Linked DNA regions of Oryzias latipes. Each later gene encodes a partner of the first gene's protein in a complex. Links are inferred from orthologs where the notes say so. Each region holds a gene or a part of one and is shown on either strand. Other genes may lie near its edges. The genes, in order: naa50 and naa15.

What was found.
Region 2: the proteins of naa50 (region 1) and naa15 are in contact, whole or in part, in a cryo-EM structure (PDB 6PPL), measured with the Homo sapiens proteins. The link is inferred for Oryzias latipes from reciprocal best matches to the Homo sapiens genes NAA50 and NAA15. Residues at the interface, in NP_079422.1 of Homo sapiens: Arg5, His14, Asn15, Lys17, Gln18, Arg21, Leu22, Val25, Phe51, Asn52, Ile54, Ala55, Leu80, Pro82, Tyr83, Leu86; in NP_476516.1 of Homo sapiens: Pro369, Pro370, Thr371, Leu374, Ser403, Thr404, Pro405, Thr406, Leu407, Ile408, Phe411, Glu433, Ala436, Leu437, Asp438, Thr439, Ala440.

Annotation. Positions count from the first base shown.
Region 1 is NC_019878.2:17,678,662-17,683,144, forward strand, and holds the start of naa50 (N-alpha-acetyltransferase 50), read right to left. Parts: upstream 2,863-4,483; 5' UTR 2,683-2,862; coding exon 2,675-2,682; intron 1,114-2,674; coding exon 977-1,113; intron 1-976. UniProt on the Homo sapiens protein: N-alpha-acetyltransferase that acetylates the N-terminus of proteins that retain their initiating methionine. Has a broad substrate specificity: able to acetylate the initiator methionine of most peptides, except for those with a proline in second position.
Region 2 is NC_019859.2:5,608,148-5,612,616, forward strand, and holds the start of naa15 (N-alpha-acetyltransferase 15, NatA auxiliary subunit), read left to right. Parts: upstream 1-1,403; 5' UTR 1,404-1,514; coding exon 1,515-1,568; intron 1,569-3,418; coding exon 3,419-3,503; intron 3,504-3,599; coding exon 3,600-3,704; intron 3,705-4,060; coding exon 4,061-4,218; intron 4,219-4,469. UniProt on the Homo sapiens protein: Auxillary subunit of N-terminal acetyltransferase complexes which display alpha (N-terminal) acetyltransferase (NAT) activity. The NAT activity may be important for vascular, hematopoietic and neuronal growth and development.

The DNA.
Region 1 (4,483 bases):
ACAAAACCGACTAAAGTATTGCGTCTCGGTGCAAAGCCGATATAAAAAGCTGCTTTTCTCCACATCAGAATCGGCCAATTCATGTCGATCAGGTAAACGGTCCAAGATTTAAGGTATGTCACAGAGCATGTTATTTAGGCGTCACCACAACAAATCTAGCGTTAAGAGTTAAATTATCAAAACAAGACATTAACTACTTTTAAATTTCTTCTATTTTTTTTCTGTATGCATCAGAATTTTCTTTAATAAGAAAAGCACTTTTTTAAAATTATCCAACTGTAATTTTTTGGGATTCTGTTCAGGAGTTGAACTGAGGTCTTAGAGAGATAAAAAGGATTTCTAGCTGGTTGTTGTATAGAAATATTTGCTAAACTGGATTGCTTTTTGCTTATTTATAGCTTAACTGCTGAGCTAACTTTGCCTCCAATCCTTTTTTAAATATTGTATTTTTATATTTCTAATTGTCAAAACTGAATTAGATGCATTCGTTTACCATTATCTTAATTTATAATTGTTTAAACAAAGGCAAAAGCAAAGAAAATATCAAAATATGATGTTAAAAATACCATGTCAAGTCCATTGACTATTTAAGAATCCAATAACTTGCTTGTACCCTTACAACAACAACAACATCTGTGCTTTAATTTCCAATGCAGAGCATAAATGTTATGAAGGATGTAAAACAGTGCCGATTTTTAAAGATGAATCCACATCCATCTTTGAAACAACCTGTAGGTTGTTTCAAATGCCCAATAATTAATTGGTTTTCCTTAATTTTTTTAATGATTTCATGTTGGCAAATTCAGTCATACATTTTGAAATTCTTATCTAAGGATAAGTGATAAATTCTTATCACTTATCCTATACTCTAGTTGCATCATGCTCCACATGATCCGTTTAAAATAAACTTCAGCAATGACTTGATGTTGTTTTAAGTTCTGAGTTGTGTTAAGTTACTACATGAGTCATCTCTCACCTAGCTTTGCAAGCTCTCCAACTTCCAGAACATCTTTGTAAAACTTGTCGTTGTAGCTGACAGGGAAGATGACTTGATTCAGCCGTTTCAACTGCTTAATGTTGTGAGGCGTAACGTCCCCCAACTCGATCCGGCTACTGGAACAAGAGCAAAACGGTCAAATCACAGACAAACAGGACAACTAAGCTAAACAAGCTACAAAATTAGATCAACTGAATAAGTTACGTAGTTTAAAAGTTATACTGTTTAGAATGCTGGACAAATAAAGAGGCTTTGGTAAAATAAGTACATACCGTATATTATTTTATGTACATTATAAAAATGCAATTTTTGACTCACCAAAGCCAAAAATGGCTTTTATTAAAGTAATTTATTTTATATTATACAAAGCCAAAAAAATATCAATAAAGAAATAATTCCAATTTAATTAATGAAGTTTCATCCCTATTCAGTTTAAAGGATAAAATATGTAATACTTTTTTTTCAACTTTTTTTACCACTTGATCAAAAGCCTGTATTTTAACAAAAAGTACAAAAGTTAAATGTTTCCTTACTACAACAAAAAATGGTAAAATACTGAAATTGAAGTTAAAAAAAAAGAACTGATTTGCGCAACAACTGAACACAAAGAAATCACTCTTCATTCAACATTTCCTCATTATTTCCTCTATTTTTTGGCATTCGATGCATTCATATTTTACATTATTTAAACAAAGGTAAATGCAAAAGCAAAGAAAATACTAAAATATCATGGAAAAAATACTAAGTCAAATAGAATATTTGTCATGAACGTCTACTGATTATTCACAGCTTTAAGAATTACAAAAATATTTCCAAAAGAAAATGTTTTAAAATAATATTTTCCATCTAAAAAGAGAAACCATGTTAAACTTTAAAAGCTTCAGCGTTACTAAGATTAAAATAAATTAATTTTATGTTCAAAACTTACATTAAAAGAAAAAATAGTCCTAATACAAAAGTCAACTTGACCTTTTGATGCGTTTCAAGAAGTATAAATAGGACAGCCAAGTGTCCACAAACAGCGGACAGACACGTGTGTTGCATTTCCAAGTACTATGTACAGTAACGTCTGAGTCTGAAATGCGTATTATTACTCAACTACGTATAAATTGAGAAGGTATCCAGACGCACATTTTCAAAAAACGCAGAGTGCTGCTGCATAACTGGCGGCGGTACTTTGACAGATCCAGTTGAGCCAAGCTCCTAAAGTTGCTGTTATGGCTGCTATGCTATCATTATGAACTTTTGACACAAAGCACAGACATGGGCTTATTTATCACGATAATGGTTGAATAATTAAAAGAAATTATACACAACGTAATTAAATTAAATGTATTCACAAGCACAACCAGAGATATCCTTGGTATATCTACTAAGGTTAGCTAAACTGAGTTTACTGACTCAGCTCAGTACTAGCAGCTAGCTGGTTAGCTTAGCTTTTAAGCCACAAATGAGCCGAAAGCGGCGAGGAGCAAAAGTAACAGTACTGACAGTGTTTTTCAAGTATAAATTTTTTTCTTCAATATATATAAACTTTTAGATAAATACGAAAATTAAGTAGCTTGGCACAATAACTAGCCCCGTCGTCCCCTCATCTTCTCCCCAACACAGTCAAGAAACTTTAGTCGTGCTAGTATTGCTACGCTACATTTTTGTGACCTAAAATACTACACTCACCCTTTCATTTTAAACAAATGGTGTCCCCTATTTTCGAGTAAGGTCTATCGTTCAGTCAGGTATAAGCTATGTCTATTAAAAGAGTTGGTATTCGGGATGCCTCCCGTTTTACTCTCCACATGTAGCTAGTTGCGGCAATTAAAGTTAGCTTAACCGCCACACTTCTACCACGATTGTGAGCGTCAACTCTGACCCCCGCATGCGCACAAACGCCATTATGCAGACTCAATAATTTTTCCTGAATTTTGCCTTTCAGGATTATAGTTGGTTTCTGTCATAAAAGATGTGTCAATGAGCCTGAGTAAATGAATAGTTGATTTGAGTTAAGTAATCAATAACGGTTTACGTAGACAAACTGGATTAAGCATCGTTAATGTTATTTCAACACGACTCACATGAGTAGATGGTCAATGATCTACGATAGTTGACTGACTACCTGTCGATACATGTTTCTTTAAACAAACGGCACGAAATATCGCATAAATAATTTAATTAATATGAAAACGTTTTATTTCAAGTTCAATTGCATACTTTTTCTTTTATCTCGATTTCTTTTTATTTTAAAAATATTTTTTTATCCTGTCTGTACATTGTGTCCCATTGTTTGTTTATTTTCTGTACATTGACTTATTGTTGATTGCCATTATTAATTTATTTTTTAAAGTTCTTATGTTGCAATAAAAAGAATGAAAAAAGTTACACTTTGTGGTTTCAGCCTAAACTGTATTTAAATTATTATTTTATCTTTTATTTTGTTTTTAATTATACTTATCTGTTTACCTTAAAAGGTTGTATTATACTGCTTTTCCGAACTTGCATTTGTTCTGGTATAATTCTATTAGTTCTATATTTTAGAAGCTAAATTAAGTCTTCTTTTAATGACAAAAAATATCCCAATGTTTTCAAAATCTCCATATTTTCTTTTTTTTAACTAAAACTTAATTAAGACTCATTTTTAAATTACCACGACGATTACACAAACAATATCAAGTGGGTTCGCAACATTTGTGGTGTGGTCGATCACTCTCTCTAACGATCTTTGCAGAAATCCCTGGGTAGACCCAAAATGGCGGCAGTTGCAAGGGCCCAGCAGTAAAACTGAAGCTGCGCGAGTGAATGAAGTCAGCTGACCTCAGCCTCCTGTCACGCACCGCACAATCTTGCGTTTTCTCGTTCGAGGAAAGACAGGGAACGGACACCTTACGACCAGACGGTAGGACCATTTATTATCCCACCGTGTTTAGTTGTTTTTAACGGCGATTTGCTCGCGAGCTGGAAATGAAAAGCGCTTACTTAGCAAGCTTTCTTGTGTTGCGGTAAAAATTATTGCAATTTCGGAACCAGGCCGAATGAACAGTCGTTTCCACGAAACAGACTTCCCTTCCCAGCCATCTTACGTTTTCTACATTGTGATGGATAAATGTTTAATTCCAGAAATGTAAATATACGCGCGATTTAGCAACAATAAATCAATATTAACTTAAGCTAGCTAGTTTTTCAATGTCAAAGAAATCTCTCTTAGCATTGACACTAGTATCGGTACAAATCCGTAGCTATCTTAATCGGACTGCCAACCTCACTCATCTGTCGTTACGTCTTCCTTAACGGTATTAAAGGTTTTGTCTTTTAAAAACAACATTCCTCATATATCTTATCTGGGCTCACGGGGTCTGCAGTTAGCATCAGCCCGTCAGGGGGGTTTGCTTGGTCATCTCACGAACATGCAACATTTTTTGTTGTTGCTTGTTTTTGTTCTCAGGGCATCTGCTGCCTCTCAAACCAGATTAGGAACCTCCAGTTATGCTACTT
Region 2 (4,469 bases), on another chromosome or scaffold:
GACTCTGGTTTTGGATCAGAGGTTGTCTTCTGGGCAAAGCCTTACCAAAATCATCAATTTTTTTTATTTATTAACGAGATTTCTCTAAAGAAAATAGCATTTGATTGCTGAAAGCATGGTGTTTTGTAATCAGTCTGCAGCTGTTCTTACCACAGAAGCTGCTTTCTCGCTTTGGGAACAGCTTAGGTTTTAATTCCCTTAAATAACCCTGAAACTAAATCAATAACCTTGTTCCCATTTGGAGTTTGGGACCTATAAGCCACCCCAGACTGTTTTACTCCAGCCAAATTGAAGTACTACAAAAGATGTCTTATATTTGAAAGCATTTTCACCCCTTCACACTCGTACGTTCGCTTTTTCTAGTCTACAAGTGGGTGCATGAAAATGGAGTGGAGAGGGGAGCTTGTGGCCCTCCCAGCAGATTTTTTAAGTCACTAATAGGCTTTTTTTAAGATGTTTTCATCTGCCCCTGATTCACAATGATTTGAATAAAGAAATACTCATGAATGAAAAATTTGAACTTCATTTTTTTTTTGTCCTTGATCAACAGAAAACTGAACAGGTTAAAAACACCAAAAACAAACTTTTTTACGAAGTGGGTCTTTTTTGGTTAATAACGGGGTGTTCCTCAAAGGAGTCTTAAATACATATAGTACTATTGCACTAAAGTATAGTAACATGTTAATGACTTATGTAGCCTTAATTAGGAGAATATGAAACAGTATATGAATAAAATATTTTTTTTTAAACTGAAGGAGTACCGACTCAAATATATCCACAAATATCAGGTCAGGAAGACACATTGTGGTCTTGGTATTTTCTTTTTTTAATGTATACTAGCCTTTTATTATTATTATTATTATTATTGTTGTTATCTTAACAATTTTAGCACTTTTTCAAAATAGTAAAGTCTTGATTTTAATGACAGATGCACATCGTAGCTGTTTTAAATTAGTCGAGTTTTAATTTCTTGTTTTAATGACAAATGATTTGTGATTTTTATTATTTGCTTATTATTTAGGTTTGTGTTTTTTACTGACCGACTACTGTAATGCATTGCTTTTTTAGCTTCAAAATAACAAGCGGTAATTTTTAGTGTGGGTGTTTTTTTTTTGTTTTGTTTTTTAGTCAATGATGCACTGACCTTGGGAGTTTAAAATTAGTTGTACAGGAGTAAAATGATGCAGTATAAAAGTATGTATGTCGTGGTTATCAAGGTTTCGTACATAACTTAACGGTTAACGATAACGTACCGTTATAATCACAACAAAATTTATTTTAAAAAGGTTTTTAAGTGTTCAAATTAAAAGTAGTTTAATCTTTTTCATTGTTGTTATTTTATTTTGAAAGGGACTTCTCTCAAACGTGAGGCGGAAGTGGAAGAGGAGAGAAAACAGAGCAATCGAGCGGGGCGGGTGAGCCGGGGCCACCGTCGCTCAATTCGTCTGGACTGCTCGAGCTAACTTTAGCTACATGTGCTGAGGTCGAAGGGGAAGCCGATCCCGACTGCAACGATGCCCTCGGTTACTTTACCGCCCAAGGAGAACGCTCTCTTTAAGAGGATTCTGGTGAGTGCATGTTCAGGGAGGCGCCGAACAACAGCAGCCGAGTGGAAAGGTCCACCAACGGGGGCAGTCCGCGGAGCTCTCCGGTGGTTGGTTAGCATCGCTCTGTTAGCAACATGGCATCATTGAATGGGTTAGCCACCAAAGGCCTTGATGTGCGCTGTCACCGCAACGCCAAAATGGTTGATCGTGACCCTGTTGATGGTTTTCGGAAAGTGTTGTTGGTGCAATTAAAACACATTTTAGCTTAAATTAAAAACCTGCTGCACCATAAGGACTAGAATAGCCGAGAAACGTTTGACAGCCCCCCACGCTTGCCTTGGCTTGACACGCACCACAAACAGCAAGGTGTCGCGAACCGCCTTGGAAGCTAACTCGTTAGCTAAATAACAGTCGTGCGCGCTGGTAGAGTTAGCCTTCGCTTTTCCCGATTCTACAAGTTAGCTTGACGAAGCTTTTACCGTCATTTTAGCTTATTTTTGAGCGATTGCTGAGCGTGTCCACCCGGGTACTTTTTGTGCTGGAAGATTGTCAAGCTAACGCTTTCTTGTCAGTTTGCGTCACTTAATCGGCTAACGCCATCCAACCTGGTCATCTTGTTTTAGCGGACTTCAGGTGAATGAATGTCAGTCCGGGTGTGTTTCTACCGCGTGGCGTCGGTGAAATGACTTGAGTGGAGTTTTTATTTGCCTAAAACGCGCATAAACGGGGATAAAAGTTTGGGAGGGGGGAAAAAAAAGAGCACGCGGAAAAGAGCCGCGTGAGGGTGTCAGCAAATCTGTTGCTGCTTCAGGCCTGCCGTGCTTCTGCTCTGCCGATCCCCCTCTCCATGAGTCCCCCTGTGGCTTCCGGCAGTTTGCACCGGGGTTTTCAACCTGCACCTTTTTTATTTTGTGAGGATCATCTGAACTAATACAGGAGCTGATGGTTAATTAAAGTTTATTTGAGACTTGAAGTGGAACCTTTTTAATAGGTGAGCCTTCTGCACGGTCCTGTTCTGTTTCTAACATAGAAGCTGGAGACACGTGCATTTTATAGTGAATGTTTCACTCATTCACTCAGAAAAAGCATGCTTTTTACTGTATGTTAGCTTTATTTATATAATCTAAATGCATTTATGCAAACTGGCAGCTGCCCAGCCTCTGGATGGATGAGGGGCTGAGCAGGTGAGTTAGTTCCTCCGGCCCTGTGACTGCTGGAATCTGGGTCAGATAATCCGCATCCTTTCATTTGTATTTCAGCGGCAGAGCCCCTCTATTAACACTGAAGACAATGCCAAATCAAGCAGACAGCCAGCTGGCTGCCAGACTGTGCAGCTCTCTGGATGCTCCAGACACAGATTACCCTTGTGCGGCATGTCAGGATTTTATCAACATGTTATTTATAGGCTTTTTTTAAAGCCACAGAGACCTTTTTTTCTACTTATTTTATATTAGGAGATCATTTTTTATTCAACCTTTAATCCAGATTTTTTTGTAAGCAAAAATATAAGAGATTGTCATCACTTTAAAATGAATGTTTTAGTCAAGTAACATCCTCTTTTTGGCCTTGTGAAATGCAAACATCCCTCATTTGTTTGACTCATTCTGTAAAATTTAAAGTCATTCCTGACAAAAAGAGGAAACGACACCTTTAGCGATTATAGGTAAATGAATGTGAAGGATATCAATATTGATTACTTTTTTGGTGTGAAAACTCTTTTTTTTTTTATGAATTTAAAATTATTGGATTAATAAAATTCTTATCAACGAATTGAAGTATAACCTTTCTAAGCAGCGACCGTCACATTTCAACCTTTTCCCGCAGGATTTTATTTATTGCTAACTGTCCCCAAACTTTGCTTCTTTCGACAGCGATGTTACGAGCACAAACAGTACAGAAATGGGCTGAAGTTCTGCAAACAAATCCTCTCCAACCCCAAGTTTGCTGAGCATGGAGGTAGGCAACTAATGTGTGGAGGGATGGAGAAATATCCCCCCTTTTTGTGCTCATCCTTCAATGTCGTATCTTTTTTTTTTTTTTTTTTTGCTGCAGAGACGCTGGCAATGAAGGGCTTGACCCTGAATTGTCTTGGAAAGAAAGAAGAGGCGTACGAGTTGGTGAGAAGAGGTCTGCGTAACGACCTCCGGAGCCACGTCTGTATCCTTTCGTGTTTCGCAGCGGGAATCGTGTTCTGATGTTGTTGAGCAGGACGATTTAGCCCAAAAGAAAAAAGCAACAAGACCTCAAGAGGCCACACATAATGCATAAGAGCTCTTCTCACTGTGAAGCACCATCAGCACCTCCTCCCTGTGTTGCTCTCTGATGGAGGCTGCAGGAAATCTGTGCACATTTGCTGAATACTAGTGTCTCCTTAGCCAAAGCCCTGCCCTGAAGTCAACGCTGTGTTTTTCTTGGATTCAACTCTCGTGTCCCTTTTTTCTGCGACAGTTTTTGAGTCCCCTTAGTAGGTATGATTGAACCTGTGGACTGCATGCTCCTTAACCGTGACCCAGGCTGGCACGTGTACGGTCTGCTGCAGCGCTCGGACAAGAAATACGAAGAGGCCATCAAGTGTTATCGCAATGCTCTGAAGTGGGACAAGGACAACCTGCAGATCCTCAGAGACCTGTCCCTGCTGCAGATCCAGATGAGAGACCTGGAGGGCTACAGGGTGAGGAGCGACTGAGGGTCATGTGGTCTGTGGGTGGTTTCTGCGTGATCAAACTTCAAGGATGTGGTAAAGATTTGGCGACAGGATGTGTGAAACAAACTTGTATTTCTGAAACCGTTTCTCCTGGGCCACCATGTGGAGATCAGCTGGCAAATATGAGGTTCCACTCAGTCCATTTTTACCATTTTTGAGCAGCTCTCCTGGGATTAACATTAGCGGGAGGTGTGAGATTATTAGATTGGACATTGACG